Linked DNA regions of Mus musculus. The protein of the gene in region 2 purifies or fractionates together with the protein of the main gene of each other region. This does not show direct contact. Links are inferred from orthologs where the notes say so. Each region holds a gene or a part of one and is shown on either strand. Other genes may lie near its edges. The genes, in order: Mybbp1a, Lyar, Gtpbp4 and Gnl2.

Region 1 (7,455 bases), on a different chromosome or scaffold from region 2:
ACGGGAACCAAACAAGGACCAGGCAAGGGACCTAGTTTCGTAGTCATGCCACCCACAGTGTCCCTCACACACCTGGCTATTTGCTCAACCACAGCTTCATCCTTCTCCAGATGCAAATGATCCACAAGGCTGACCAGGCGGTGGATGATCCACTTCCGGAGCCGGAATACAGCTCGCTCAGGCCTGGAAGCAGAGGCCATGTAAGTGACCTCAGAAACAGGGTACCCCTTTGCCCCGGGATCACCCGCACCCTGCCCCGACCTCTTGTCAGGAGAAACAAGGGCACAACCAAGGGCTAACTTTCCTCCTCTCCTGCCTCTAGTTTGAAGCCATGGCACTCAGGCTTTGAGCTCCTCAGAGCTCCTGACACGTGCCACTCACACATTCAACGAGGCGTCCTGAGCTCTCTTCTGGTTGGCAGTGCTGAAGTCAACCAAGGAGTTCAGGTCAGGCTGCAGGAACATGTCCCGCAACCAGGCCACATAGCTCTGCAGGGCTTCAGCATTCAAAAACCGCGTGACACGCCAGAAGGTAGGCATGACAGGGAGACCTTGATTGGTGATGGTTGTAAAGGCCACCATCATAGTCAACTGCCGCTTAGGGTCATCCTGGCACCCCTCTAGGAAGGTACCCACGTATGTACTTATCTCTGGGATGATCTTAAATAGGTTTTGGGGCTGCAAGAGATGAGCATGAGTTTGGGTTATCAGAGTGAAGAGGCAGGCAACCACCTTTGTCTATAGAGACTAAACCCAGGACTTCGCCACTCCAGTCACACAGCAGGGCTGAACCTAACTTTGCCACAACTCCATCAAGGTCTATCCTTGATTCCTTAGTTCATCCCCAGCACAAGAAGGTTCCAATTCTCCCTCAAAGATTGCGGACAAGATTGACTGGCATGAAGGGAACCTAAGCTCAAGTCGTGATAGACCAGTACCTACCCGTGCCATCCTGTGGCTCAAAACCCAAGTGCTTTCTGTATAGCCCCCCACCCCCATCACTGTCTTACAGGTGCTAGGCACAAAATGCAGAACACACTGGGGTCAATAACCACTCCCCTCAATGTGACCCCCCCAGCAGTGTTCCAAATAGATGGCTGGCTGGGCCTGCTGGTAAGTGGGCCCCAGGACAAAAGGGCCTGATTACTGGCCAAGTCCTCCCCTACCAGATCTTCAGAGGAAGAACCCCTGCCCTGGCCCTGCAGGCAGCACTGAACCACATGGGAAGACGACACCTACCTTAGAAATAACCATGTTCTCCCCAAAATGGCGGATCAAGTCTCCTCGCATCACCAACTGCAACTGCTCCTCTGACAGAAGCGGCAGAGACGCACCCAGTAGGCGGAAGCACATGTAGCTAAGGAGAGTTGGGGCAGAGCCTGGTCAGAGGCCCTGTACTTGATCAGGTCCCACCCAGGCTGGAGGAGAGGGAAGACCAGTGTCACACACACCTGGATGTCCAGGACGGATTCTTCAGCAGCCCCTCCTCCAAAACCTTCTTCCAGAACAGTTCGAATCTGCTCTCCTTGAGCGCCAGGCGGAGCAGGTCCAGAGCCACATTAGGCAGCTTGTGCTCCTTCTTGACAGAGTTGGCGGCCACCTTCAGGATGTTCACCAGACTAGAAGGCAGAGGAGATTCAGTAAACGTTACCCGGAGGACTACAGTGCAGGACACCCCCGTGAGAACCCACTCACAATCTCCTCAAACCTGGGAATATTGTCTTCTGAGAACAGGTCAACCGAGCCCATGAGTGACTCGAGCTTTGTCGGCACCCTCTGCTTAGCCAGGAGGAAGAGCTCCAAGTACTTGGGAGAGCGGAGGATCACTTTCATGTTACCCTTGAGGACCTTTGGCAGGATCTCCTGGAACATGGACTCTGGGACCTGGAGTGGGGGCACAGGTGGAAAGGGTGGGTCTTGTTCTACCCATGGGCTTCGGATACACCACTAGTCAGTCAACTTGCCAAGCAGCAGACCCCAGCACTGTATTGATGACTAACTGGCCTGGGGTCTATATTCAAAACTATACCTCTTTTTGTTTTGTAAGAGGGCTAGCCGGTGTCATATACACAGAGCCCTATGTGGGGAGCTGCAACTTAAATTCTGGTCTGTCTCCATTTGTGCCAAAAGGACAAATCAGGGACAAGACAGTGGCAAATGACTCTAGATACAAACAGACCCAGGCTTGACCAAACCAACTATGGCAAATGTACTCAGATTGCCTTCTACATACTCAGGCATTGACAAGCACTGTTCCAGACCCACACTAGCCACACAAAGGCCACCAGAGAGGGTTATGGAGTATCTGAACTGCCTAACTGAGTGGACATGTGCTGAGACCCTGAAAGACAAGGCAGATTTAAGATAGTTGGTGAGAGAGGAATAACAAACAAACAAACAACCTCCTCATACCAGTTGCATGGTCAAACCATCTGTCCTCATCATGTTCCTACCCAAATCTTTTCAACGTTTCCCAAATCAGACGGCATGACTTGTGATTCTCTACCTCAGAGAGGATGTCCACCAGAGCCTTTATTGGCTGTCCCTGTAAGTGGTTGGGGTGTTGGGACAGGATCTTCAGCAATTGCACGGACTTCATCAGGGCCTCTTTGTCCTGGTATCCACAGAGAGCAAAAGGTGAAGAGCAGGGTCTGTTACCATCTGTTCCCCTCCAGCCCTAAACCAGTCCCTGCGCCCCGTGCCAAAAGCTCTTACCTTCACTAGGCGGCCTGACTGAAAGAGGGCTAGCACTCCAAAAAGGTTTGCAAAGAGACTAGGTCTCATCATTGCCTAGAAAAAGATTGAAAACACAGGTGAAGAGGGTCCCTCCCCATAGCTGTTCAGGAGCAGGTTGTCTGTCTGGGAATCTCACGCACCTTGTTCATGGCTTGTAGGCTGTATTTTTCTTGTATCTGATCCAGGATGTCACACAATGGGATGTCTTCAAAAGACTGCAACAGCTACCAGGCAAGACCAGAAAGAGCTCAGGAGTGGCCCAGGGACAACAAACCAGACCAAGTCCATTTCCCTCCTTCAGCTTTCCCCAATATAATCTCCGTGCTCCTCCCATCCCTCACAAGCGCTACTGCTTTCAAGGGACCACATCTTACATGGCTAAGCCCCACCTCCATCAAGGCTTCAGAAGGCCTAGGCTGCTTCTGTACCTCTTGGGAAAACCCATCCCATCCAAAGATCCTGTTCTGAGTTGCCTTGAGGCTGGTTAGTCTTCATTGCTTTTTGCTGTACAAATTTCTACGTGGTCTGTCATCAGTTGCCTTCCTAACCTGGAGGCGGCTCCCCAACCTTGCAGAAATCAACCTCAAAGTTCACTACTTCCAGTAACTGTAGCTAATACTCTGTAGCTGATAAACGTGTATCAGAAAGAAAACGTGTTCAACTCTTCCACCTGCCTGGACTTTGCTGTACATAGGCCATGTTTTGGCACTTCCTCCCACCCAAGTAAGGATGCCTGTATCCCCTCTGAAGCATCTCGGATTTCTTCTTACCCCGCAGCTTCGGTGCCCCCTACCCTTAGACGCCACCTTTGCCCAGCGAGATCGTGCCCTTGCCAGACACACAGTCTCACCTGTGCCAGCGCCAGGCTGTAGCAGGGCCTAGCGGCTTCTCGGCCCACCCCAAGCCCAGTGATTAGGCGCTTCAGGGCATATTTCATCTCCGAATCCTACGGAACCAAGAACATCCCTCGTGTTCAACAGTGATCTGAAGGGCCCACCCCTCCCCCTTGCATCCAGAGCCACGATGGGCCTGGGCCCCTCCATCATACATTGGGCCTTGTGCGCAAGTACTCCAACAACTTCTCCGTGGCCCGGAGCCGCGTTTCCTGATCCGGTTTCGCAATGTCCCAGAAGAAGTCCAAGAACTCGCGGCTGTGCTCCAGCAGGCTGTGGCGGTCGCTTTGCGCCGCTTCTGCGGGAGTCGCAGGCTCAGCTTTCGTGGGGCTCTTCATCTCCGCCATGCTGAGCCAAACACGTGGGCTCAGAAGACAGTCACTTCCAGGTCAGGTCTCGGCGCCTGCGCACTGGGACGTCCGAGTGAGGGCGGGGCCTAGCAGGTTGGAAGTGGCTTCCGTACGGCCTTGCCTTTCCCTTGTGGCTGTGGGTGGAGCAGAGTGTTCTCACACGCGCGTGTGCTCAGAAACTGATGCTTCGATCTCTTCCTTTAACCTGGAGGAGTTCCTGACGACCGGAGGTGCAAACAAATCCACGAAAAAGCCGTAGTATGATCTCTTCCCAGACCCGGGTCTGCTCGCGATCTAGTCCGAGACATCCGCTATTATTCCGCTTTTATTGTGTGCATCCGAACAAAGCCGCGGCTTCTGTGGACTTCCTTTCTAGTGGGAAGAGATGGTTGATGAACGAGTAGACAAATACATTTTAAATGATAGTTATGAGGAAAATAAGGAATGTAGGGAGCAGAGGGAGCCTTTTAAATGTTAAAAAACGTGAAAACATCGCCTGTTAAAAATTAAAGGGAGGGGCTGGAGAGATGGCTCATCGGTTAAGAGCTCTGACTACTCTTCCAGAGGTCCTGAGTTCAGTTCCCAGCAACCACATGGTGGCTCACAACCATCTGTAATGGGATCCAATCCACTCTTCTGGTGTGTCTGAAGACAGATACAGTGTATTCATAAAAATAAACAGCCGGGAGGTGGTGGCACACGCCTTTAATCCCAGCACTTGGGAGGCAGAGACAGGCGGATTTCTGAGTTTGAGGCCAGCCTGGTCTACAAAGTGAGTTCCAGGACAGCCAAGACTATACAGAGAAACCCTGTCTCGAAAAACCAAAAAAAAAAAAAAAACAAAAAACAAAAAAAAAAATAAAATAAAATAAACAACATTTTCTTAAAAAAAAAAAATTAAAGGGAAGCCGGGCATGGTGGTGCACACCTTTGATCCCAGCACTTGGGAGGCAGAGGCAGGTGGATTTCTGAGTTCAAGGCCAGCCTGGTCTACAAAGTGAGTTCCAGGGCAGCCAGGGCTACACAGAGAAACCCTGTCTCGAAAAACCAAACCAAACCAAAACAAAACAAAACAAAAAAAACCAAAAAACCCAAAACCACACACACACACAAAAACAAAACCAAAAAAAAAATTAAAGGGAAAATTCTATAGATTCTAAGATTCTATTTAAGAGACCATGACAAGACTGACATGTGAGCTGACAGCTGAGGGACAAGATGGGCTCTATTGTCCCCAGGGCAAAAATCTAAGAGCAGGCCAAGGACATTTCTTCTACAGAGGCCACTCATCTCTTACGGGAATGAGGTCAGTAAGGTGAGGAGGAGGACTCAGGTGCCAGGAGCAAGGTTATATAGAACCCAGGGCCAGGCTCAAGGGTTCAGAATTTCTTCAGAGAGTGCAGGGAGGATTTACATCTGATTTACAGTTTTAAAAGGTCAACTGTTAGCTGAGAGCAGCCACAGCCCGTGGCTGTGAGTACCGAGGCAGTGAATTATGCTGGAGTAAGGCCTTGGCTAACCTATGGCAAATGTCAACGTAGGCGATGACCTGGGCCAAAGGAGATGATTTGCTAGAAAGGACACCAGGCTAAAAGCTAAAATCGTTGAATAGATGGTGGAATCATTGCGCCTAGCAATGTTTTGTCTGAGAGAGAAGTGGAGATGGTACAATTAAGAGCTCTGCTAGCTTGGGTTTGGGGATATGGTATGGAAATAGAACACCAGCCAAGCACATCAGTGCTCTAAATTTGATCCCCAAGCCAACAAAACAAAACAATTAGCTGACTGTGTTGGTGATCCTGTAATCCCAGTGCCTGGGCCAGACTGGATTACACAGGGAGACTCTGCCTTAAAAAACAAAATTATAGAGACAAGGGATATGGCGTGTTAGTGAAAAGCACTTACTAAACCGGGCGCGGTGGTGCACGCCTTTAATCCCAGCACTCGGGAGGCAGAGGCAGGCAGATTTCTGAGTTTGAGGCCAGCCTGGTCTACAGAGTGAGTTCCAGGACAGCCAGGGCTATACCGAGAAACCGTGTCTGGAAAAAAAACAAAACCAAACAAACAAAAAATCACTTACTACTATTGCAGAGGATCAAGGTTCAGTTCCCAGCACCCATATAGCAGCTCACATCTGTAACCCCAGTTACAGGGGAGCCAAAGCCCTCCTCTGACCTCAGACAGAAGAAGCATGTGGGACATGTGCATATATGCAGTTCACACACACACAGAAGATAAAAGCATCTTTTTTTTTTTTTTGAGACAGGGTTTCTCTGTGTAACTCTGGCTGTCCTGGAACTCACTCTGTAGACCAGGCTGGCCTCGAACTCAGAAATCCACCTGCCTCTGCCTCCCAAGTGCTGGGATTAAAGGCTTGTACCACCACTGCCCGTCTAAAAGTATCATTTTAATTAAAAAAAAAAATTAAACCCTCAAACCCTTAAATAAGAATTTCCTTTCTCTTTGTCAGGTAGGGGAAGTGCTACTGGGTGTCCTTGCTCTTGGCCTGAGGAACTATTTCTAAAGGGTTGTATTCAAGAGATCTCAGAGATCAGGAACAACCCAGTTCCAGCCCTTCTGTACCCAGGGGAACCTCCTACTCATTTTCCCAACCCTTCTCTGCTCTGCCATCTGTTCTACACGTGAAACTAAGAGATTTACCTTGTGCAGATGGAACCCCAGAAAGCAGAAGGTGGCTGGAGCAGGGGAAGCCGAAAGAGACAGACCCAGGCTCCTCCCCCTGTGTCTGGCGTTCATCACCTGTGTTGCAAAGGTTAACAGGAAAGTTAGCCAAAGAGCACAGATGTCACTCTGTCCCCGGAAGATTTGAACTTTATTAGCTTCCAGTCCAATTGATAAAGATCAGCAGGGAATGGTCCAGTGGAAGATGGAGCTGCCCACCCTGCCCAAAGACTCAGTAAGGGCTGGTGACCTTCCACTGGGCTTTCCCAAAGGTGAGTGGCACTCAGACTCTTTTTCATCATCTTCTGGTCTTTATTTGATAGAAAAGTCAGAAATTCCATCAGTGTGGGTACCAGGAAATGTGGTTGGACCAGCCCTGGATGCCAGAGCCAGAGCCAGGTAACAGATTAGGATGGAGGCTTCATGTGATGGAGCAGCAAACACCTCACAGATACATTCTCTTCATACATTCATTGCTGCTAGACCTTCTCTGTCTGGCTCTCAAGTTCCAGACACCTCTGCCCCTCTGTTAATACCCCTGAAAGGGGCAGCAGCCACTGGGGACACTGGAGACATGGGCGTGTTCTGCATGGACTACCGCCTGCAGTAGGGCCCCTTGGCCACATATGCCAGGGCTCTCTGTGGGTCTTTGATGCTGGGGCTGCTGTGGGATTTGGGGTGTTGCCAGATGATTGAGCAAGGTGCAAGTCATGGCTTTGGCCCCTCTGGAGATCCCTGAAGCCACCATCCCCAACATATCGGCTTCTGTGTCATCCAGGTTGTCACGAAGGATGA
Region 2 (7,542 bases):
TGCTGGGAATGAATCTAGGGCCTCATGCTCACCAGGCAAGAGCTCTGCCACTGAACCTTATTCCCTTCTGCTACAGGCCCTCAAAAGTGTGTGTGTTCTAAGTGCCACAGAGTACACACAGAAGTGAGAGAACAATTTGGGGACTCAGCTCTCTTCCACCTTGGGTCCTGAGGATGGAACTTAGGTGGTCAAGTTAGTAGGGCACGGGCTTTAAAACCCACTGTGCCACCTTGCTAGCCCACAATTCTCTAACCAATAGGATACTGTCCCTTTGGTCTTCTCTTTAACAAGTCCTTAAAACTAAAGGGTACTCCGAGAAGAATCACACCAAGCTTTGTCAACAAACCATAAGGTTTCCTGAAGGAGAGGTAACTAACCAAATGATAGACACGGAATAGTTTGAATGGGTTAAATAAGTTATCAGCTAGTCTGGGAGTGAGCCAAAGCTTATGGCCTAGGCATTTAATAATAAATAATTAGTCTCTGAGTCACAAATCTGGGAGTCAGAGCTGGGAAAGAAAAGCGGATTTATTTATTTATTTATTTTGTTTTTTTCGAGACAGGGTTTCTCTGTATAGCCCTGGCTGTCCTGGAACTCACTCTATAGACCAGGCTGTCCTCAAACTCAGAAATCTGCCTGCCTCTGCCTCCCAAGGGCTGGGATTAAAGGTGTGAGCCACCATCACCTGGCTGGATTTAAATTATTTTCAACCTACTCAGTGTCTGCCTTCATTTTGCTCCAGTATTCCCCTAAGCTTTGTGGGGTCTGGATTTCTATACCCAGATCTTCAGGAATTATCAGAACTTACCAGAAATCTTTCCCACAGTCAATGCAGGAAAGACATTCACAGTTTCTGCAGTTAGACACATGCTTTTCCACTTGTATTTTCTTCACGGATTCACCACATGCATTGCATGTAAAAAATACCATTTTTGGTTAAATAATTAGAAATTTTCTGATATAGGTTTGAACTCTTGCCCTAAAAAAGAAGATAAAGATGATTATAATAAGCCTAAACTCCTCCCAATAAGTGAATTTCACAACAAAAGGGCAAGCTCAAAGTTTACCAGTGATCTCCGAGAAGTAACATACTTCTATCAATGGCAGAAAAACCAGCCAAGTTCTCAGCGTGAAACAGGAATATGTACTGGCACTAACCAACTAAGCCCTCACAACAACTTACTTGGGAAATGATGTCATGGCCTTGTAGAAACGATTCCTACATGCACAATGGGTCACAGGTGAAAGACAGCCCCTTGGCCTCAGTGGACAAGGTCCAACAAACATGTTTCATTAGGGCTCATGCATGTCAGGGAGGAAGAAAAGGAACCCATCGCAGGAGCTCCATACCCAGGTGTGCCAGCCTCACCAAGTGCACCCAGCATGGAGGGCATCTGCACAGGCACCCCCCCCCAACACACACACACTGCATGCATGCTACCATACTCTATCAGATTCCTAAAGTGTTACGAATATCATGGTAACTTTCCATGCTTACATAGCCTTCTAGTCATCAGACTCTAAGAGAGCAGTCCTGTTCTTATAAAATGGGCTTCATTCAGCCCAAATACAGCCACTTAGCGCAGAACTCTTTTCCTCAGTATGAAATGAAGGTTGAGGATTAAGTAAACACATAGGACTTGCTTCTCTACTTCATGTAAGAACTCAGCACCAACGGGCTGCACTTTGTTTACAGTGATTTCAAGCATAAATCACCATCGCCCCTCTGACACAAGCCAGTGAGGTCACGCCAAACCAAAGCAAGAGCAGGATGGTTTTCTTCCATTGAGTCCTGAATGGAAATGTCCATCCTTGTGTACAAAGGCCTCCTGTCCTTTAGGGCACAACTGGTTCACCTTAGATACAAATCACAGGTCCTCGACACTGATGTCCTGTGCCCTCCTCCTCAGCTTGTGAACAGAGCTGATTAGCAAGGGCAGGCATGTGGGCAGCTACAGCCTGGCACCAAAGGCAAACTGGGGTAGATAGGACCACTCTAGGCTATCCAAGTACTGTTGTCTAGCCTGTTTTTTAAAGACATGTGTCACACTTCTGGATCTGGAACCATGCTTAATGTTTACCACAGCCTGGCTTCTAAAATATTTACTATCATTTTGCACAAGGCGGATGGAGGTAAATAAATGCTAGGCAGCAAGGGCAGCAGTTCCACCGCACAAGCAAGAACAAGAGCCTACTGCCACCTAGTCTGGACATCCTTATACATTTACGTAAGAACAAGAAAAAAGTCAGCTAATTGGATATCAAGAAACGGACTGCCATCATAGCACAGGGAACAGTTGCTGTGATTAGCTAAAGGATCCACTGAAAAATCAGGAATCGCTTCTGCAAGGAGGACAATGAAGAAAACACCTACTAACTTAGAGCTTTCAACCTCTGCGGCTGACGACTGCTGTTTCTGGTCAAGCTTGAGAGGAGAGGGCAGGCTTGAGTAAACCTTGGGAATCCACGGGTCTGTCGTTGGGAAAGACCAGAATTAAAGCCCAAGAAACAAGATACAGCAATCAACAAAGCGATATGGCAAAAGACATGCCTGCAGCAACTATGAAAAACAGCTCCCCATGGCACAGTGTGAACACCAACTCAGGAGAAGGCTGGAATCAGGTCATATGTTCAACTGATCACCACTCTGGAGTCATGCTCAACTGGTTTTCTACCTATTTATTGGACAAGAAACGAGAATCAGTGTGTCCACCTGCAGGGCTAATGAGATAAGATTTGTAAGGAGATTATTCAGATGGGGGGAGGGAGGGAGAAAGCCCAGGGTCACCTTGGCTGTGCAGCATCTCCAGCTCGGAGAGAACACTGTTCATTTATGAGAAGTATGCAGTACATACTACAAAGGACAGCAAGGCTCAGAACCAGAAAGCCAGCACAACTGGCCATGCAGCGAGGTTCAAGTCTCAGGCCAGGCTTATGAGCATCAGAAGTGTAAAGGCCACAGACTACGAGACAGAATCCTGGGCTAAGCGAAGACAGCAATGCCCTGTTAGGTTCCCATTAAACACTAAAACCAAGAGCAACTTGGGGAGGCCAGAGGTCTAATTCAGGAGTTGCCCACCTTCCCTTTTCTAAAGACTTATTTTATTATAAGCGTTGAGCCTCTAAGTGTGTGCCCATACTCCTAGAGGTCAGAAGGCAGCGTCAGATCTTGTGATGATTAGTCCTGGTTGTCAACTTGACTACATCTGGAATGAACTACAATACAGAAATGGAGGGCACACCTATGATCCAGAAGAAACAGGCTTCTGACCTGGATTTTGACATGGACATCTTGAGGCACAGTGGCCCAGGCAAGGTAGCACACCTTTAAACCCAGGAAGACTGAGGCAAGCAGATCTCTGAGTTCAAGGCCAGTCTGGGACAGACAGAGCAAGTTCCAAATCCAGGCACGGTGGTACACACCTTTAATCTGGGGCACTCCGTCTGCTGGAGGCCCACATAAGGACACTGGAAGAAGGAAGACTCACTCTTCTTCTCCTGCTTGCACTTACTTGCCAGCACATCTCTTGGAACCTACTTCTTCAGGATTCCAGCATATACAGAAGACCACCTAAAACACCCAGCCTTGTGGGACCGAGAAACTTCTAGATTCTTGGGCTTCCCATTCATAGCTAACATTGTTAGGTTAGTTGGATTATAGACTATAAAAGTCATTACAATAAATTCCCCTAATATGTAGATATCCCACAAGTTCTGTGATTCTAGAGAACCCCGACTAATATAGATCTCTTAGATTCTGGGTGCTGAGAACTGAACTCAGGTCCCCTGGAAGAACAGCAAATACTCTTAATCCCTGAGCCATGCCTCCAGCCCCCTACCTTGTCTCTCTCTCTCTCTCTCTCTCTCTCTCTCTCTCTCACTGGGAGTTTATTAAGCGAGCTGGATAGAGAGCCACAGGGTTCTGTCACCACATCTTGCTTTTTAACCTGGGTTCTGGGCATGGAAATTCATGTCCTCATGCTTGTGTGTCAAGCACTTTACAGACTGGACTATCACTTGTTTAACTCATGTACACACAGAGACAATATTTGCCCTAAAACCAGGCCATCTTAAAGGCCAGGCAGGCAACTGCTCCCTTTAAACTTCAATTTCTCCCCATCTCTGAAATAGGGAGTCGGCCCACTATAACTAGGCACAAGCTCCTTCCAGAATTCCTAGAAATCACAGGTACACTAAAAGATAAAAAAACAGCACATATCTCCACCCTCTTGGGACCCCAGGGGAAGACTATGAGTGGGCCACATGTTTCCACTGAAGCTCAAAGAATCCAAGCCATGCCCCTGCTTCGGTAGAGGCAGTTCAAGTCTCCTCACCACAGCTTCATATGAATAACTTGCAGGTGTTAGGCACTACGGTAGACACTAAACTCTTGACACAATTTGAGCAGGCTTCATATCCCTGGGCTTCGCTGGGCAGAAGCTAGGCTTTCGGGCACATAGACCCCTATCATCTCTCTTACCTCTATCTCCTAGGAGGTAGCTGCTGCAGGAAAAATCCTGACACATGCTGAGCAACCACTATACGCCAAGCCTTTTACCCCTGTAAACTTCACACACACCCTAAATTAGATTCTCTGGTATCCCTTTTGGACAGACGTGGAGCTGGGCACCACTAGGTTAAGTAGCTTGTATCTAGATCGATATTTGGGGGTTCGCGGGCACTTAGGTCTTTGGTCCTCTGAGCTCCAGGAGCCATAAGGTCCTTCCTCCGGACCTAGTTCTCGAGCCTCAGAGAAAAGCCCTCTCCCCATCAGCCAGCAGGTCTATAAGCCCTGTGCGCTGAGGACTAACCGTACCATCTGGCCGGCCCCGAGTGCCGGACTAAAAACCGGGATGCAATATCTCCAGGAACTCAAAAGGCTAGGTTTTGCCCGCGAGCGAGTCCTCAAGGAAGGCAGCCATGCCACCATCGCCCTTCCTCCATGTCCCGGGGCTCCAAGCAGTTCTCACCTGTCAGCCGACCCCGCCAACGGTCTCAACCGGCCGCCGGGAGCACGTGGAGCGGCAGCCACCCAGCGTAGCACCGCCACCGGCTCGCCCAGCCACCCCGCGCAGAACTCAATCCCGGCGGCGCGCGCCAACGCGCGTGCGCGCAGAGGCCACGCCCCTCCCAGACGGAAGTGACGGCGGCGGAAGTTGCCGATGAGCTGCCGAGGGGGCGTTGTCGGAATGGTTCCGAGGCGGTTGGAGTCCTGCAGTTGACACCGAGAGTGCGACGAGAAAGGGTGTCAGGGAGGCGGCCGGGCGAGAGCGGCCTCCGCGGGTAAGGCGGCCCGGGACACTCGACTCCCGTGGGTTGGCGCGGGTAGGGTGCGCGCGGCTTACTCGCAGCGCTGTGTGATGGGGCTCGGCGGAGCACAAAGCTAAGCTCCGGGCACCGGAGCCGGGCCTCCTCCTTCCTGCAGTCACCCTTGCTGCGGTCTGCGCCGCTCTTGGTGTCTGCGTCGCCCCGAGATAGGAGAGGCGCTTATTTCCCCGGGCCCCTAAGCCGCCCCCTGCCTCACTCACCGCGTGATCCTAGGTGCCATGGTGTTCCATCTGTAGGATGCTATTACTGCAGCGCCTACTCCTCGGGACCACGGCAGGTGCTGGGCGCGCCTCTGTGGGAAAGACAGCATCTGGTATACGTTAGTGGGCACTGTTGCTTAAATGACTGAATGAACGTCCAGCAGGCTATGAACAGTATTGTGAGAAACCTCAACCCAGGCGTGGGCGTTTGTTGGTGACAGAGACGTCTCCTGTTTGCTGTGGCTCCTAAAGCAAGGGACAACAGATGAGGTGGTTCAGATGAGAGAGCTTTAGTTTCTCACACTTCTAGAGGACGGCGGGCCATGAATGTGGTGTCATCGGGTTTGCTTGCTTTAGAGGACTGTCCTGGCTTACTGGTGGTCACTCTTGCTGTATCCCCACACAGTCTTCCCTCTGTGCCATCGCAGCTCAGGCATTTCTGCCACAGAACCCATCCGAAGAGGCTCTTTTTAATTTTTAAAATACAGTTGCCTTCTTAAGGGTGTAATTGCTACAGGTATTCAAATTCTGAGGTTCTGGAGAACGCAACGGAATGCATAAAGAGCCCATTAGGTGGTATGCCCTTGTAACACCAGCACTGGGGAGGTGGCGATAGGTGGATTCCTGAAATCAGTGAGCCTCACACCTCAGTAAGAGACCCTTTCTCAAAAAAAAACAAGGTGGACGACTCCTGAGGAACAATGCCTGAGGCTGGCTTCTGGCCTCCACACATATGCACCCTTGTCTACACAAAACATGCACATATATCTGCACATACATTCAGAAAAAGGCATAAAGATAGGCACAGTAGTTAACAACGCCTAAGGACCCCTGTAAAGCTTGATATAAACAGCTTCAGGGCAAACCTCCCACAAATCATCCACCAGTGTTAACTGCCTGACAGAATTACCCCACCAAACTCTGCCGTGGGAGCCTTTTGGTTAAAATTCTGGTGTGGGCTCCTCTTCCCTTCATTTACCTCATCCAAGCTTTTCCCCACCCCCCACTTCTCCTTGCCTTTCTCACCATGGTATTTGCATTGTTTGATGTCTTTCACAGTGATCTTTCTGCTATCATATTCTTGGTTTCAATTTTAGCTTACAGAACTAGAAGGAACCGTACAGTTCTCTAGTTCCACAGGGTCGCTCTATTCTCAAACTACATGCTGAGCACCTGTGAGGCGCCAGACACTTGCAGGTGTCAGAGCTATAGCAATCAGCGAAGGAGATGTGAGCCATGTCTTTACCATGTAAAGACGGTTGCGTTTGCCGGCTAGGCTGAGCCCCCTAATAGTTCAGTCAGCTGTGAACTTGTCAGTGGTTCATCCTAGTGAGGAAAATCACGCCCTTGTGAGCCTCGCATTTGAACTCTCCTCCTGCACTGAGGACTAAGTCTTGAACTCTTATCATCTTTTTGGAAATACTTCATATCCAAACTATAATTTAGTGTGGGAGGGTCCCCACAGGAGTTACAGCAAGTAGGGGGAAACAGTCACAGTGCGGTAAGAATAAAATCCGATCAGCTCAGTTTTGTAACCAGAGCTGGGCCAGGCCAGGACTTCCAGCGTCTGACCCAGATCATTTTACTTTACTCATATTTATGCACAGCACAATTTGGGGGTGGGGGGGTTCTGATAACAGTTACATCAATCCCAAGTGCACAACAATTTTAAGACATGTTTACATTGAGATTCTTTACAAAGTATATCTGGCTTCTTTCACAAGAATGGGTACTGTTAATTTAGAAATAGTGCCCAGTGTCTAGGATCTAGGGAGATTGAAACATAATGAGGTAAACATAATGTCTGTAGGAGTCAGGATTGGCCTGGCCCTAAGATGACCTAGAAGTCACTAGGCTGTTGTTTTTGTACAAATGACATCTCTCACAAAGATGAGCTCTATGGCCTACAAGTAATGCTCAAGGCTTTAAGGGGAAAGGGTCTGGCAGAAGTTAACCATCAAGTCTGGAAGGTATGGGCAGGGCCTGCTCAACAGGTAGCCAAGGATCACCAGG
Region 3 (7,541 bases), on a different chromosome or scaffold from region 2:
GGAACAATGGGGAAATAGCTTTGCTCATTTCAGATTTGTTGGACAGAGCCTTCCTGGGTAGTATGTGATTACAGCCAGTAAATTCTAGTAATCTTGGAGGTTTCATTTAGAATAATCAAAGCATGCTTATTTAACTTGCTGACACAATAATGAGCAGTAATGCTAAGATAACAAATGGCAATGTGCTTCAAATTGATTTTTAATACTGGAACGATGGGAACATGATAGACATTTTCATGAAGAAGAGCAGGACTTGTTAAAAGATCTGAAAAGTGAGAGAGCACACACAATGACTTAGAAGCAGTATGTCAAAGCAGGTTTTGTAGGAGCCAAGCCACATGTTCAAGGCTTTTTATATAATTCTTATATATCTTATATAATTTTATATAATTTCTACATATAACAAAATTGTATAGTTTTGTTTCCTCACCAAATATTATAAGGTTTTTGTAGGAGCTAAGTGAGTTAATTTGGGGTCAACTGCTTTGAACACTGCTTGAGCTATAGTCAGCCCTATTTAAGGTTTAACACCATATGGGATTCTTGAGTTACCTGAGAGTGAAAATTTTATCAATTGTCCAAGTGCTTCATCCTTATCCACTTCCTCCTATTTGAGCTGGGCTCCAAGGACTGAGTCTCCTTGGTGAATACCTGGATTCTGCTAACCCACTGTGTGGGACCACATACAGCTCTTTTGCCTTATTCCATAATTTTCCTTCTCTGCTCCTGTTCCTGGGATTCATCATCAGTAGGGCCACTCTTCTTATGACCTCACCTCTGCCCCTGAGGCCTCATCTACTAACTTTGTTTCAAGGTCTTTAGTCTTGGTCAACCTTGCTCTTGACTCTGTTCAGTTTTGTTCAGTACCCTAGTGGGGAGTCAGAATGTGAGGCTGTCCTTTCCTTTCCTTTTTTTTTTTTTTTTTTTTTTTTTTTGGTTTTTTGAGACAGGGTTTCTCTGTGTAGCCCTGGCTGTCCTGGAACTCACTTTGTAGACCAGGCTGGTCTCGAACTCAGAAATTCACCTGCCTCTGCCTCCCGAGTGCTGGGATTAAAGTCGTGCGCCACCACGCCTGGCCTTTTTTTTTTTTTTAAGATTTATTTATTTTATGTATGTGAGTACACTGTATATGTACAGATGGTTGTGAGCCTTCATGTGGTTGTTGGGAATTGAATTTTTAGGACCTATGCTTGCTCCAGTCCACCCTGCTTGCTCCGATCAATTCAGTTCACTCAGTTTTTTTTTTTTTTTTTTTTCCTTTTTGCTTTTTCTGAGACAGGGTTTCTCTGTGTAGCCCTGGCTGTTCTGGAACTCACTCTGTAGACCAGGCTGGCCTCAAACTCAGAAATCCAGCTGTGTCTGCCTCCCAAGTGCTTGAATTAAAGGCATGCGCCACCACTGCCGAGCCTCACTCAGTTCTTGCTTACTCCAGCCCAAAGATTTATTTATTATTATACATAAGTACACTGTAGCTGACTTCAAACGCACCAGAAGAGGGTGTCAGATCTCATTATGGGTGGTTGTGAGCCTCTATGTGGTTGCTGAGATTTGAACTCAGGAACTTCAGAAGAGCAGTTAGTGCTCTTACCCGCTGAGCCATCTCACCAGCCCGAGACTGTCCTTTCCAACAGCACAGAGAGATGCATTTAGTCAGAAAAGCAGAAAGTAAATGCTCTTGGGAAATACCCAATTTAACATATCTGGAGTCTGATTGAAAATGTCTGATTGTAATTAAAAAAGACACCAGGCTGAAAGCAACTTGTATTATCAAAGTAGTCCACACTGGGGCTGTGAAGGAGAAAGGAGAAAGGAGACTTTGAGGAGAGGAAGAACCTTGAGGATTATCTAGTTAGGGAGAGACTCAGGAAGGTAAATTAGCAAAGAAGACTGCATTCTAGACATCAAGTACCAGAATGATGGATGTCACAGAAAAATAGGGAGAAAGGTTTGAAGAAGATGGCAACACCTGAGAAAGGGTCTTTTAGTTAAAAGATAATCATGAGGCAAGAGTAGATGGATTAAGGTAAAGAAATGGGTGGCTTAATTAAACTGACAGGGAAAACGCAAGTGGGAAGGTTGGCTTCAATCCATGTAGGTCTGTACGGATCAGACTTTGTGTCTATGTCTGGTGCCTGGGTTCTGGGCAGCTGTGTGGGGGGCAGAGTTTTTTCACTGGCCCATGTCAGGTGAAGGTCAGGTGAAGGTGGAGCACCCACAAACCACCTCGAGACTGCAAGGTCAGGAGAGGAAACTCGGGCCACCTGGAAGTATGCAGTCTACTCCATTAACAGAAGCCCCGTCAACATAATTTACTCGAATAAATAACTTTCCACACTGCCAGGCGACAGACAGCCTTTCTTGCTCAAGGGACACCAAAGTGATGCAGAAGCCCCGCGCTGCGTCTTCCCGCTCGTCACTCGCTCTGGCCGCGGCGTCCCCAGAGGTGGCTGGAAACACCCTTTGGAGCCCCGAAGCCGGCTTGGGTGAGGGCAGTGTTTCCTGAGAGCCCCGCCAAGGTGGCCAGCCGGGAGTCTCCCTTTCACCCCGCAAGGTTATCTCTCCCACCTCTAAACCCAGCAGATCTCTACCGCGGCTCTTGGCGGCGGACTTCCCGGCCGAGCGGGGACGCTGTGGGACTAGAAGCCTGTCTAGGCGGACGCGTGGGCCACGCCTCGCGGACATTCAGGAAATGATGTAACGCTTGAGTCCGGCAGCCAAAGTTGTGTCACGCCGGATAGCGGAAGTCCCGCCCACCTCCGCCGGCGGAAGTCCGGTCCTCCGCTTCTCCTGGTTCCTCGTGCGTTCCACCGCCGGCATGGCGCATTACAACTTCAAGAAGATTACGGTGGTGCCGTCTGCCAAGGTAGGGGTGACAGAGGTCGTTTCCGCCTATCTCCATTTCCCCGACAAGTCGCCAGGGAGGGTCCAGGCCTGTATCCCCGAGACTGGGGGAGGGAGGACACCGTGCAGTCCCTCGGCCCTCAGTGCGGAGCTCCGCTTGCTAGGCTTTGTCCTCGCGACCCTCGGAGATCAGTCCCACTCTCTGAAACCAAGCCCCTCTCCTGCTGTCCTTGGGTACCCTAAGCCCTAGAATCCCTCCAAGACATCAGGGCCGTTCCAGAGCCTATGATTCTTGTGTGGCCTGCCGACGGGACAAAGTGTCTGGGTGGTGGCCACAGTAAGGAGCAGGGTAGGAAGCCTGAAGGGGCCAGTGGTGAGCGTCGTGTGAGTACCCTCCCCTTTAAGTAGAATTTGATTCGTGACGTCACGGTCTAAAAAGATTTTAGGTAGCTGTCATTTTGTCGTTGGACTTAAAAGATGCAATTGGTTATAAGCACGCAAGTAGCCAGGCCCACATTATGTAACGTAGCAAGATGCTTTCCTCCCAAATGTCGAGAATGAGGTAGGCTAAAGAACCTAAAAGGATACACCGGTTTCTCTGGCAAGCCATGGGCATTAAATTGCAGAATCAGTTAGAGGAACCAGTGTCACTATCGTTAAATTGACCGCAGTGTGGGTGTTTTCGACATCCCCCTTTCTGAATGAGCTTGCTTTGAAAACTTGTGTAAAGAACTAGTATTTTCTGGTGGGCGTGGTAGTGCACGCCTTTAGTCTCAGCACTAGGGAGGCAAAGGTAGGCGGATCTCTGAAAGACCCTGTCTTGAAAAGACAAAAACCATGTTTCCACTAGTTGTTTTCCTTACACGTCTCTGTATTTCTCCTTTCTTCCTCTTTCTGATATCCATTCTGATACGTTTTTCACACGTTTGTAATAATTGGAAAGAAACTACATGTAGGAATCACATTTTGTTTTAGCCCACGAGACTGTCGCCACTACTTCTCAAGTGCATGTTGAAGGAACTCGTACACTTTTTATTTCACTGGAAATAGAGTTCATTGGGTCAAAGGAACTTTGTTGATATAATTGACCTAGGAAAGGCAGCCTTTGTCTCTGTTGCCCTGAAGGAGGTCTGTTTGCAGATGAGTTTGCATGTGTGTAGATAGGTGGTGGGAAATAAAAAGTCAATCTGAAGAGTATGGGGTGCTTTTGTAAAGTGTGTGCCAAGTTCTGTGTATAGAAACACATAGAATAGTCTGCGTCTTTAAGAATCATATTCTGGGGGCTGGCGAGATGGCTCAGTGGTTTAGGAGCGCCGACTGCTCTTCCGAAGGTCTCGAGTTCAAATCCCAGCAACCACGTTACGTCTGTAATGAAATCTGATGCCCTTTTCTGGAGTATCTGAGGACAGCTACAATGTACTTATATATAATAAATAAATAAGTAAATAAATCTTAAAAAAAAAGGATTTTCTGAAGGAATAACTGAATGTGTTTATACCCACCGCAGTATGATGGAGAAGTGTGAGCTCCAATTGGCCCTCTGTATGAGTTCAAATCCAGAGTCAACCAACACAGATTAAAAACACTATTTGAAAATTGCATCTATATTTAATGTACATAGACTTTATTTTCTCTTTTTTGTTTGTTTGCTTTCTTTTTGTCTGCCTTGGCTGGCCTGGAACTTATACATTTCTGCCTCTAGGATTAGGATTAAAGGCGTGAGCCACCATGCACATAGACTTTTTAAAGGAGCATTCCCTACATATAGTTACAGCTATTTACCGTATATGACAAATATATGTGGATTCTTCTACACACAAGTACTGTGCCATTTTATAAAGTGAACTCAAATATCTCTCTGTTTTGGTGGGCGAGGGCTTGGGTGGGAGGAACCCTGACTATAAACTCCTGTAAATATCAGAGATTTGGGATAACATAAGAATGTAGTGAGAACTGGGCAGTCGGTGTTAGTGCATGCCTTTAATCCCACTACTGAGGAGGCAAAGGCAGGAGATCTCTGTGAGTTTGAGGCTAGCCTGGTGTACAGAGCAAATTCCAGGACAATCAAAGCTACACACAGAGAAACCCTGATTAGAAAAATAAAAACAAAGAATATACTAATAAATGGGTGAGTTTGGAGAAACTTTTCAGTAGGCAACTTTTAAAAGATATGAGGACCATGGAAAGGAACAGAGTAGAAGAGCAGCAGGCCTGAGTATCCATGCTCTCCGTAATCTGGCAGACTGTATTGTGATTACCTGCTTGCCTTTGGTTTTGTTTCGTTGGATCTTAGTGTCTTCTTCACTGTTTTGTCTTCAGCATTGTGTTCATTCTATCCTTTATTATAGAAAATGATCAATATTGTTCAATTAATGGAAGTGATCAAGGGAAAGTAGAACAGCTTTCTATGGTTGGGTAAAAGTGAATAAGTACAAATATCTCAAATAGTCTACTCAGCATACCCAGGAAATTTTAGATGATGAGTTTTAGATTTTTCATTTTATACCCCTTTAAAATCAAAGCTACAAAATCCTTGAAATTGAAGAGCTGGCTCTTTTTCTTCTGATTTATTCTTGAGTTTATTTGAAAGTTAAAATAGCATTAAAAAACATGGGGTAAAATATATTTCAGCAACCATTAGCAAGTCCTCTCTTCTACCCCAGGCATATTTTTATTGGAAGAGTGACAAGGAAGGGGCCTCCTCCATCAGTTGGAAGTATTCACAAGTTTTTCAGCCATTCCAAACTCAGGTCCTGGCGTGGTTGGACACATGGAGCATGCTCCCATTATCAGGGGCAGGGGCTGGGTCTTTGTGAGGCATGGCCTAGTTGATCTTGGTGTCATACTTGGTGTAGGGGCTGAGCGATTGAGGGCATAAATAATGCAAGGCTCTGACACTTAGAGACACTACCAGCACTGTCCCTTTTGGTCAGGCATTCTTGAGGAGGGTTGAGATTCTCCCAACTATCTTAGTCTTGGTGGTGGGTAGCAAGTTTTCATAAAGGCCAGAAACTATAAAGATGAGCCAAGTTGTATACAAAACAGTTGATTTTTGAAAAAGTAAATTTTGTAGTTTAAACCATGTACTACTGGGTTAATGCTTTAAGAAAGTTATAAGCAAATGTTTGAATTTTAATTATTCTCTTTAATCATAGGACTTTATTGACCTAACATTATCCAAGACTCAACGAAAGACTCCAACGGTTATTCATAAACATTATCAAATTCATCGGATTCGACATTTTTATATGAGAAAAGTCAAATTTACTCAACAGAATTACCATGACAGACTGTCACAGATTCTGTCGGATTTCCCCAAATTGGATGTAAGTGACAAGTATGGTTATAACATAGAAGACTACAGAGAGCCATATTAGCCAGATGGATGTATTTGTTAGAGACGAAATGAAATAACTGATGTGTCAGTTACTTCTCTTCCTGTGAACTTAGCAGAGTGGTTTAGAGAGCCCAGGCCCCCTCTCCAAGCTCCACCCCCTCGGGCAGGCGGCGTGCAACCTAGTGTCTGGGGAGAACTGGTCCTAAGTGGTTCTGTCACTGTAGTAGGATTGAGGTTAGTGTGACTACCAGTGACTGCTTGTTTCCTTAGGGGTGGCTTGATGGCTTGACAGGGTCTTTGGCCAGGACACGGGGTCTGGGGATCAGAGCTGCAGGTTTGAAGAGGGGAAAGGGAGCTGCTTCTCCGGTGGCTCTTTTCTTCTTTTCTTTTTTTCTTTTTTTGGTTTTTCGAGACAGGGTTTCTCTGTATAGCCCTGGCTGTCCTGGAACTCACTTTGTAGACCAGGCTGGCCTCGAACTCAGAAATCCGCCTGCCTTGCCTCCCAAGTGCTGGGATTAAAGGTGTGCGCCACCACCGCCCGGCTTCTCTAGTGTTTCTTACACGGAGTGACGTTGTACATTTCATTTTTTCATTATAGGATATCCATCCGTTTTATGCTGACTTGATGAATATTCTCTATGACAAGGATCACTACAAGTTGGCTCTAGGTCAAATAAATATTGCCAAAAACTTGGTGGACAAGTAAGGCATTTTCTTACTATATATCTTATAAGTTATTACCAAAAAATACAAACCCTTAGATTACTTTCTCTTTTTCTAAGTGTTGCTAAAGATTATGTGCGTCTTATGAAATATGGTGATTCTCTGTACCGATGCAAGCAGCTGAAGCGCGCGGCCCTTGGACGAATGTGTACTATTATCAAGAGACAGAGGCAGAGCTTGGAGTATCTGGAACAAGGTAGTTGTCATACAGTAAAAAAAAGTTTCACTGTGCTCTTTCATGTTTGGGACTTTTTTTTTAGTTTTCATTTTTTGGAAGTTTAGTTAGATGCATGTTTTTAATATTTAGTAAGTAAAACATAAATCTGAAAACACTTTTATTTAGTAGGAAATTTCAGAGTTAGAGCTGGTAATTGGACCTTGTGCTAACCCCTAAGCCCTACAAATATTTTGTTGGGCATTGTGCTCTTTCCCCTGAAAGTGTTTGCTACAGATCTGTGGGGTTCTCATGATAGCTTAGTGGCACATGCTAGAGCTGTGCTGGTGTTTCAGGTGAGACAACTAAGTGGACATACTTAGATCACAGCATGCATACTTGAAAATACACTGTGGACCAATTATCCGTTCGTAATCATCCTTCCCAAACATGGTTCTTAGTCTCAATTTGACTTAAAGCAACTGA
Region 4 (6,954 bases), on a different chromosome or scaffold from region 2:
AAAAATGAAGACATTCCACGAAGGAAACAACCTTGAGTTACACCACACTGGGGTCACTTGAGCCCATTTTCCAGGACCTGTGCTCACCCTCTTCTTACCTGGGAATCGGTCGGTAGCTCTGCATTGGGCGGCTTGACAAAGAAAGGGATTCGGCCTCTCTGCCAGTCATTGAGAACCATCTTGCTCACAGTCAGCATGTCAGGCTCTCCACCCTAAAAAGACAGGACAGGTTCCTTCCCAGTTAAACCCCAGAGCAAAAGCTCTTCTGGATGAGGGAGGGCCACTTTAGTCACTCTGCTCCTCACCATCCAGCTGACACAGTTCCCACCGCTCTCACAATGGCAGGTCCGTGTATCCCAGTGCCAATCCCCAAGACGCTGGCTCACCTTCAGTAACTTCCCAGTGCGGAGAGCTAGCTTCTCAAGAAAGTCCTCCGCGTTCTCCCAGGACTCAATCTTGTACGTCTTGCTGATATACTCTGGCTTTGCTCGTTCAAGGACAGCACCAATGTGGTCTTGAGGAGCTTTAATTTTCTCAACTTGAACCTAGAGAATAATAGAAATGCTGTGTTCAATTCTTTTGCATAGACAGGAAAACTCAGTGATTTGTATAAAGTGAAATGGATTTCTTTATCACGAGGTGACTAGGACTTTGCTGTGTCTGTGATAGTTTGGCAGGAGCAAGGAACACCCCTGAAAGCTGACCGCAGCCAGGGAGCCCAGAGCTCAACTCTAATCCTGCTTTACCACAGACTGTGTGCGGCCTCCACAGGCAGTTTGAACTTGGAATGCTCTGTGTCACTCACTGGCAGGAACGGTTAAGATGCCTGCTACTCCCAGAACCCAGAACACAAAAAGCAATCCAAGAATTTCAGAAGGACGGGAGGAATGTGCAGAGAACTTATGCTAGAAGCATGGTTATGGTTAGGGGGAATCATTTAAGTTTTCAGTCATATTCAGAAACAAGGGAGGAAATGACTGGGTTCCAAGATGACTCAATCCATAAACCCATGAGATGAATTATCACTAAGCATAAACAAGCCCTGCTTCCCTTCGGATACCATGTGGTAACTGCACACTACTGTGGGATGACACTGACCAGATATGCCCACAGCCCCTCAACCTCCTGAGGTAGGCTGAGTGGAAAGGAGGCTGCTCTGTTCAGCATCATATTTCTGCATCTGCTTAGACAGGCTGACCCCAGGCTGCCTTCTCAACAAGGAATGGCAAAGGCTCTTAGGGATCCCCACAAACGAAAACAGAATTGTTGAGGACAAATACCCACCACTCCTTTGAGCACAATGTCGGTCTCTGAGTCCTCAGATGGGTAAACCACACCAGGGCAGTCAATCAGGAATATACGACGCATCAAGGTAATATACTGCCAGACCTGCAGACAGAAAATCCTAAGTTTGTCAAAGTCAAATACTGGGAGCTAAACTTCACTGATCTGTGACATTGTCATATTAAGCTATAAAGCAACCTGCTGAATAATCAGGCCAGAGCCTATCCTTTACTTAAGTATGACAACTTCCACCAAGGACATACTAGAGTTCCATCACTGAGAGTCCAAGAATAAGGCAGAGGCAGGATTTCTAGTTGGTCTTGTGCAAAGCCACCACAGTGAACCTCTTCACGTCTTGAAAACATTCAGAAACACAGAGACGCTAGCTTCTTTGTCACAAGGCAGAACAACGCTGTTCCCAAAACTCTGTTATGGCTGCTGCTTCTAAATAATAGAAGCTATCTAAAGACCACGTTTTCGCCGGGTGTCTTTCCTTCTTTTTTTTTGGGGGGGGGGGGCGGTTCTAGACAGTGTTTCTCTGTGTAGCCCTGGCTGTCCTGGAACTCACTTTGTAGACCAGGCTGGCCTCGAATTCAGAATCTGCCTGCCTCTGCCTCCCGAGTACTGGGATTAAAGCCACACCCAGCATGTTTTCTTTCCTTCTTAACCCAGACACCAAATATTCTTGGGTTGGTTTTATTAAAGCAAAAGGTTGGAGTTAAGAGATACGGGGGGTTGGTTCTGTGGTTTAGAGCACTTGCTGTTCTTGTAGAGGACCCAGGTTCAGTTCCCAGCATCCACGTGGCAGCTCACAACGGTCAATATTTCTGGTTCTAGGTGATCTAGTGTCTGTTTCTGACCTCAGTTAGCAAGAGATACATACACAGTGAACATATATGCAGGCCAAACAATTATACATGTAAAATAAAAATGAATAATCTTTAAAAAAAAAAAAAAAGAGTACAAGGGCAATTTACAAAGGAATTAAATGTAGGCCATAACCAAATCACACCCCAGCATTAGCCAACAGGGTGCACCGATCCTGAGAGGGGGCAGGACAGGGGCCATGTCCACTGCAGAACACTTGCCTAGCATGTGTGTGGCCTGGGTTTGATCCCCAGTACTGTTAAAGAAAGGAAGGGGACAGGAGGAAGGGAAGAAGAGAGGGGAGATCTCCATATCTTAAACAGTCAAGTCTTCATAGAAATAAAACAGAGTAGAACCCATACATACCTTTGTTTCTCCAGCAATGGGGGCCACGTTGCAAACTTTCTTGGATCGTAATGTATTAATCACAGAGCTCTTGCCTACATTTGGATAGCCAATGAACCCAACACTGATTTGTTTCTTGTCTGTGTGCAACTGTGAAAAAAAAAAAAGTAAAGAAAAGAATATCTATCATATATACTCGGCCATAGTTAGCTCCCTTAGGTCGGTCACACTGTGTTATTTGGCTAATGGAAGGACTTCTATAGCAAAGAGCATTTAACGCATCCTCAACACAAGCCTGCCTCACAGCCCAGGAGATACAGTGTATTTTCATGTCAGGAGTGAGCCGTGACCTCAGGCACCCACGTAAAGCATCTTTGCTCTAGGTTAACAGGATGTAGATCAGGAGGAGACAGCTTGTCCATCTCCTCATCACAGTGTATCACCAGCCACAGTAGAGACATCTTTAGGGAAGGAGCCTAAGAGATGCCCACTGGAGACATGTGTGTCTGAACATGGCTGGAGCACAGCAAAAGGCAAGTGTTCAAGTCCCAACCAAGTCTAAACACAAGGCAGTGAGACCATTCCTCTAGACCCTGCTCCCCAAGTGCTCCCAGAGCTAAATCTAGAAACTGGAAGAGTCTCTTCTGGAGACAACGACAAACCCAAAGAAAATGCCTGTGTCCCTAATTAACACTACCCGCTTCAGTGAGATCCACCACTGCTAGCAGTCCCCACACCAAAAAGACACCAAGAGTCTATCAGAGTTGTGGGTACTTTTGCTTTCAATTTGATACCAGTTCTCTGTTGCACAGGGCAGTTTCAATCTCCTGAGCTAAAGTGATTTGGGAGAGAGGAGTCTTGTCTCTGAGTAGCTGAGACTGGAAGCTTTTGGCTTAGTACTTGAAGGCAGACCACAGACTGAGAGCAGACAGTTCCTACTAGAGAGGGCTGGCTGAAAAGTAGACTACTTGCTTGCCCAGCTTCTCTACCATCTGTCTGCCCAAATGTTAAACATACAAATAAATGACAAAGCAAATGACGTGAAGCAGAAACAAACCCCTGTACCAGAGAGGAGCATGAGAGCACCTGAGTACACTGCTCTCAACGGCACCTCCGTCAGAAGACTGTGAACGCCAAATGACACTTGGCCTGAGAAGCAGAGTGAGTGAGAGATGTATGTGAGGAAGATGGACACAAGCAACCTCACCGCACCCAGCATCAGGAGGCTACAGGAGCCTGAGGCAGGATGGCTGCTGCAAAGTCACTACACAGTGACTATGGAGCTACCCTGCATCACAGTTCCATCTGTTCTCAAAACACCTCAAAATGAAACCCTTTTCCATAAAACAGTGAGCTCAAGAGGGGAAGAGGGGGAGCGTGTGTGAGAGCCACACGCACTAAGTCATAGCTTAGTACTGACAAGTGCTTAAAAGCATGTTTAAGGCTTTGGGTTCAATGTCTAACTTTAAAAAAAAAAAGGAGAAAAAAAATAGAATCCCCCCCAAACTAACCCTAAAATTTTAAAGCAGGAAACATTTAATAAGTATGTAAAAATACGGGAAAGAGTTGGGGGAATCAAGAAATAAATCATCAGTATGTACCAACAGCACACAGTATTGAAATAACAGACGTGATGGCCAAGAGTCAAAAGTACTACTTCTGGGAAATGAGGAAGGGTGTGACGGGAAGCATGACTTTGTTAGAGCCAGGCAGGAGAGAAGGCTCTGGGACGTTCAGAATGTCCCTGAAGTGATGGGCTGGGCAGCTACCCTGTGACAAAGGCTGAAAGAACTACCTGGTGCTAGTGATATGGCAGAACAGGTCATGTGATGAGAAAATGCTTCAGACCCTTCCTGATCCAGAGCGCCTGCGGGTTTTTTATACCTCTAGAAAACACTGAGAAGTGAACAAAACAGTTGTTGTGAGACGAGATTTCATTATGTAGCCCATTCTGGCTTAAACTTTTGGTCCTCCTGCCTCTACCTCCAAGGTACTGACCCAATGTTAACAACTTGGGACACACACGCCAGCCCAAGCTAGCAGCAGCAGCCTCCCTACCTTCCCAAACTGCCGCAGAAGCTGAATGAATGCTCCCTTCCCAAAGGGATTGGTGAGGCTCGCATGGAAAGCCAGTGTTGGGTAGTCCTGGGAGAGCACAGCAACCCATCGTTTCTAAGGGGAGGAGAAAACACGCTGGTAAATTATAGCTGTTTGTTTACAATATTCAGAAGAATCAGAGTTGGAATTACTGGATGGCTTCAAATACAGCGTTGCCTAAGGGAAACAGCAGCTATAATTCTTTGAGATGCTTTTTCAAGTATGACAGTTAGTGCTTTGTCTTTTGTTTAACAACTGACTACAAAACAATATTCCAAAAACTAACTTAACTACTAAATGCAATTAATGGAACACAATGGGGACGTAGTCAGTGACTGGCAACTGCCTCCACTGGGGGGACACAAAAGCCTGCAGCTGCCCCCGCCAGGAGACGGAAGGTGGCTCTGCCCAGCGCCAGTGCATGTGCTAGCTCTCTGTCAGTAAGGACAGTAAGGGCAACCCCCAGAGTGTGACACTTCGATGGCCTGCTGTTTAGAATCTATGTACTGATGTGCTAGTGAATGGCTTGCCCTACTGGCCTCCACAGTGGGTTTAGGGTCACGAGCTGAACTTACGGTTGCCCAAGTTGGAACAAGGTCACACTTATTGAGTACAAAAATGAGATGTTTCCAGGGTTTTTCCTTTTTCAAGTAAGCTTCGATGTGGGGGGAACGAGTGCCCATCGGATCTCTAGCGTCAAGGACTTGAACGACAACATCTGATGAGTCTATCACCTGCAAATCCAAAGAGGCAGGAACAGTTGGCTGCAGTGCACACAAAATAAAGGGGACATTTATGGGAGCCCAGAGGGACAAAACCGTGTTTGGAAGCAAACAGTCTGCAAGGGGAGTAAACAGCAGCCACTCTCAATGTCCACTCATCAGAATTCAAAAGCTGGTCAAGAATTTTCAAAACTTGTCAAATTTCAAATAGGAAAGCTGGCTTAGATCAAGCCCATCTGATTCACAAGTACCAGGTATTGTGTATGGGTTTGTGTTATTTTACAGAAAATTAAATTTGCCTAGTTTTCCCTTATGGTCTTAGTTTCCTATTATGGTTAATTACATGGAGTGCCTGGAGCTTTTTATATTACCACCCCCCCACAGCCCCCAGACAGTCAGTTCAAAAGCACTGGGTCAGCACTCAGGAGTACACACAAAGCCTTTCTTTCCTTCCCCACAGAGTTAGGCAGGCTGGCTAAGGTATTAACCCTTCCCAGACCGAGATAGTGAGGCTAAGTAACTACTTACAATCCCCCCGCACCTCCCTTTGGGTTTTTGAGACAGGCTTCTCTGTGTTATAGCCCTGACTGTCCTGCAAGTCACAGAGATCTGCCTGTCTCTGTCTCCTGAGTGCTGCATTAAAGGCATGCACTGGCAGTAACTTACACCTTCTTAGGCAGCACTAACCATGCGGGGTACATCCTAAGGGGCAGTGTACAGGACTGACAGGCAACAGAACACAAGTGCTCTTCCTTTCCAGCACAGCACTAGAGTGCACATCACAGCTCCTTCACGGAGGAAAAGAGGATGAGGGAAGCAGTAAAGCATTACTTCATCCAAGGCCTTCAATCGGGCAGCCACTGTGCCTGCTCCTCAGTGAGAGCCACGATCCTTACCTTGTAGAGTTCTCCCCATATTCTTTTTGACTGCCCTTTTTTATATATCTCTTCTTGAGCTTCATTTCTAAGTGAGAAAGGAGCAGAAATGAGCAACTGAAGCACTATCAAGAAGAAAAGGCAATGGTAGTAGTTCACACCTGTAACCTCAGCTCAAGAGCTGGTAGACAGAGCTCTGTGACTTAGCAGCCTGGTCTACACAGTTAAGTTCCAGGCCAAAAAGGACTACACAATAAGACTCTGTCTCAAAAACGAAAACAGCCAGGCGTGGTGGCACACGTCTTTAATCCCGGCACTCGGGAGGCAGAGGTAGGTGGATTTCTGAGTTCGAGGCCAGCCTGGTCTACAGAGTGAGTTCCAGGACAGCCAGGGCTACACAGAGCAACCCTGTCTCAAAAAACAAAAAACCAAAACAAAAAAAACGAAAACATAAAAACCCCAAAACATAAAAACCCCAAAGTATAACAAAGGGAAGGATATGCAGGTGACTCTGCAAAGTCACTGAAGCAAAGCTCCGACAGCAGATCAAGCTGATGTGGTGCAAGTGCACAATGGAGGGACTTAAAGGGAAGGACACTGCCGGGTGTGTCAGTGCACGCCTTTAGCTCCTGATCTAAGGAAGCAGAGGCAGAGAGCTCGGTGAGTTTCAGGCCAACCAGAGTTACACACAGTGAGACCCTGGATCAAAAACAAAAGGGGTTGGGGAGTAGGGAGCTGGAGTCATGGCTCAGCAGTTAAGAGGG

What was found.
Region 1: the proteins of Lyar (region 2) and Mybbp1a purify together in Homo sapiens (affinity purification with mass spectrometry; 3 studies listed by BioGRID and IntAct, with this or other methods). This does not show direct contact. The link is inferred for Mus musculus from reciprocal best matches to the Homo sapiens genes LYAR and MYBBP1A.
Region 3: the proteins of Lyar (region 2) and Gtpbp4 purify together in Homo sapiens (co-immunoprecipitation; 3 studies listed by BioGRID and IntAct, with this or other methods). This does not show direct contact. The link is inferred for Mus musculus from reciprocal best matches to the Homo sapiens genes LYAR and GTPBP4.
Region 4: the proteins of Lyar (region 2) and Gnl2 purify together in Homo sapiens (affinity purification with mass spectrometry; 3 studies listed by BioGRID and IntAct, with this or other methods). This does not show direct contact. The link is inferred for Mus musculus from reciprocal best matches to the Homo sapiens genes LYAR and GNL2.

The regions. Positions count from the first base shown.
Region 1 is NC_000077.6:72,437,904-72,445,358, reverse strand, and holds the start of Mybbp1a (myb-binding protein 1A), read right to left. Parts: upstream 4,033-7,455; 5' UTR 3,976-4,032; coding exon 3,784-3,975; intron 3,682-3,783; coding exon 3,586-3,681; intron 2,960-3,585; coding exon 2,876-2,959; intron 2,790-2,875; coding exon 2,715-2,789; intron 2,614-2,714; coding exon 2,506-2,613; intron 1,884-2,505; coding exon 1,708-1,883; intron 1,619-1,707; coding exon 1,451-1,618; intron 1,357-1,450; coding exon 1,239-1,356; intron 678-1,238; coding exon 382-677; intron 184-381; coding exon 73-183; intron 1-72. Other genes in the region: Ggt6 (glutathione hydrolase 6), read right to left, coding at 7,190-7,455. UniProt on the Homo sapiens protein: May activate or repress transcription via interactions with sequence specific DNA-binding proteins. Repression may be mediated at least in part by histone deacetylase activity (HDAC activity).
Region 2 is NC_000071.6:38,218,065-38,225,606, reverse strand, and holds the start of Lyar (cell growth-regulating nucleolar protein), read right to left. Parts: upstream 5,126-7,542; 5' UTR 4,972-5,125; exon of another isoform or gene 4,818-4,971; intron 2,677-4,817; exon of another isoform or gene 2,553-2,676; intron 2,474-2,552; exon of another isoform or gene 2,376-2,473; intron 981-2,375; 5' UTR 932-980; coding exon 810-931; intron 1-809. UniProt on the Homo sapiens protein: Plays a role in the maintenance of the appropriate processing of 47S/45S pre-rRNA to 32S/30S pre-rRNAs and their subsequent processing to produce 18S and 28S rRNAs. Also acts at the level of transcription regulation.
Region 3 is NC_000079.6:8,991,271-8,998,811, reverse strand, and holds the start of Gtpbp4 (nucleolar GTP-binding protein 1), read left to right. Parts: upstream 1-2,799; 5' UTR 2,800-2,815; coding exon 2,816-2,863; intron 2,864-5,996; coding exon 5,997-6,167; intron 6,168-6,776; coding exon 6,777-6,880; intron 6,881-6,960; coding exon 6,961-7,097; intron 7,098-7,541. UniProt on the Homo sapiens protein: Involved in the biogenesis of the 60S ribosomal subunit. Acts as a TP53 repressor, preventing TP53 stabilization and cell cycle arrest.
Region 4 is NC_000070.6:125,041,938-125,048,891, reverse strand, and holds part of Gnl2 (nucleolar GTP-binding protein 2), read right to left. Parts: intron 6,279-6,954; coding exon 6,212-6,278; exon of another isoform or gene 6,006-6,211; coding exon of another isoform or gene 6,003-6,005; intron 5,328-6,002; coding exon 5,169-5,327; intron 4,669-5,168; coding exon 4,555-4,668; intron 4,393-4,554; exon of another isoform or gene 4,292-4,392; intron 2,647-4,291; coding exon 2,518-2,646; intron 1,390-2,517; coding exon 1,285-1,389; intron 546-1,284; coding exon 387-545; intron 213-386; coding exon 99-212; intron 1-98. UniProt on the Homo sapiens protein: GTPase that associates with pre-60S ribosomal subunits in the nucleolus and is required for their nuclear export and maturation.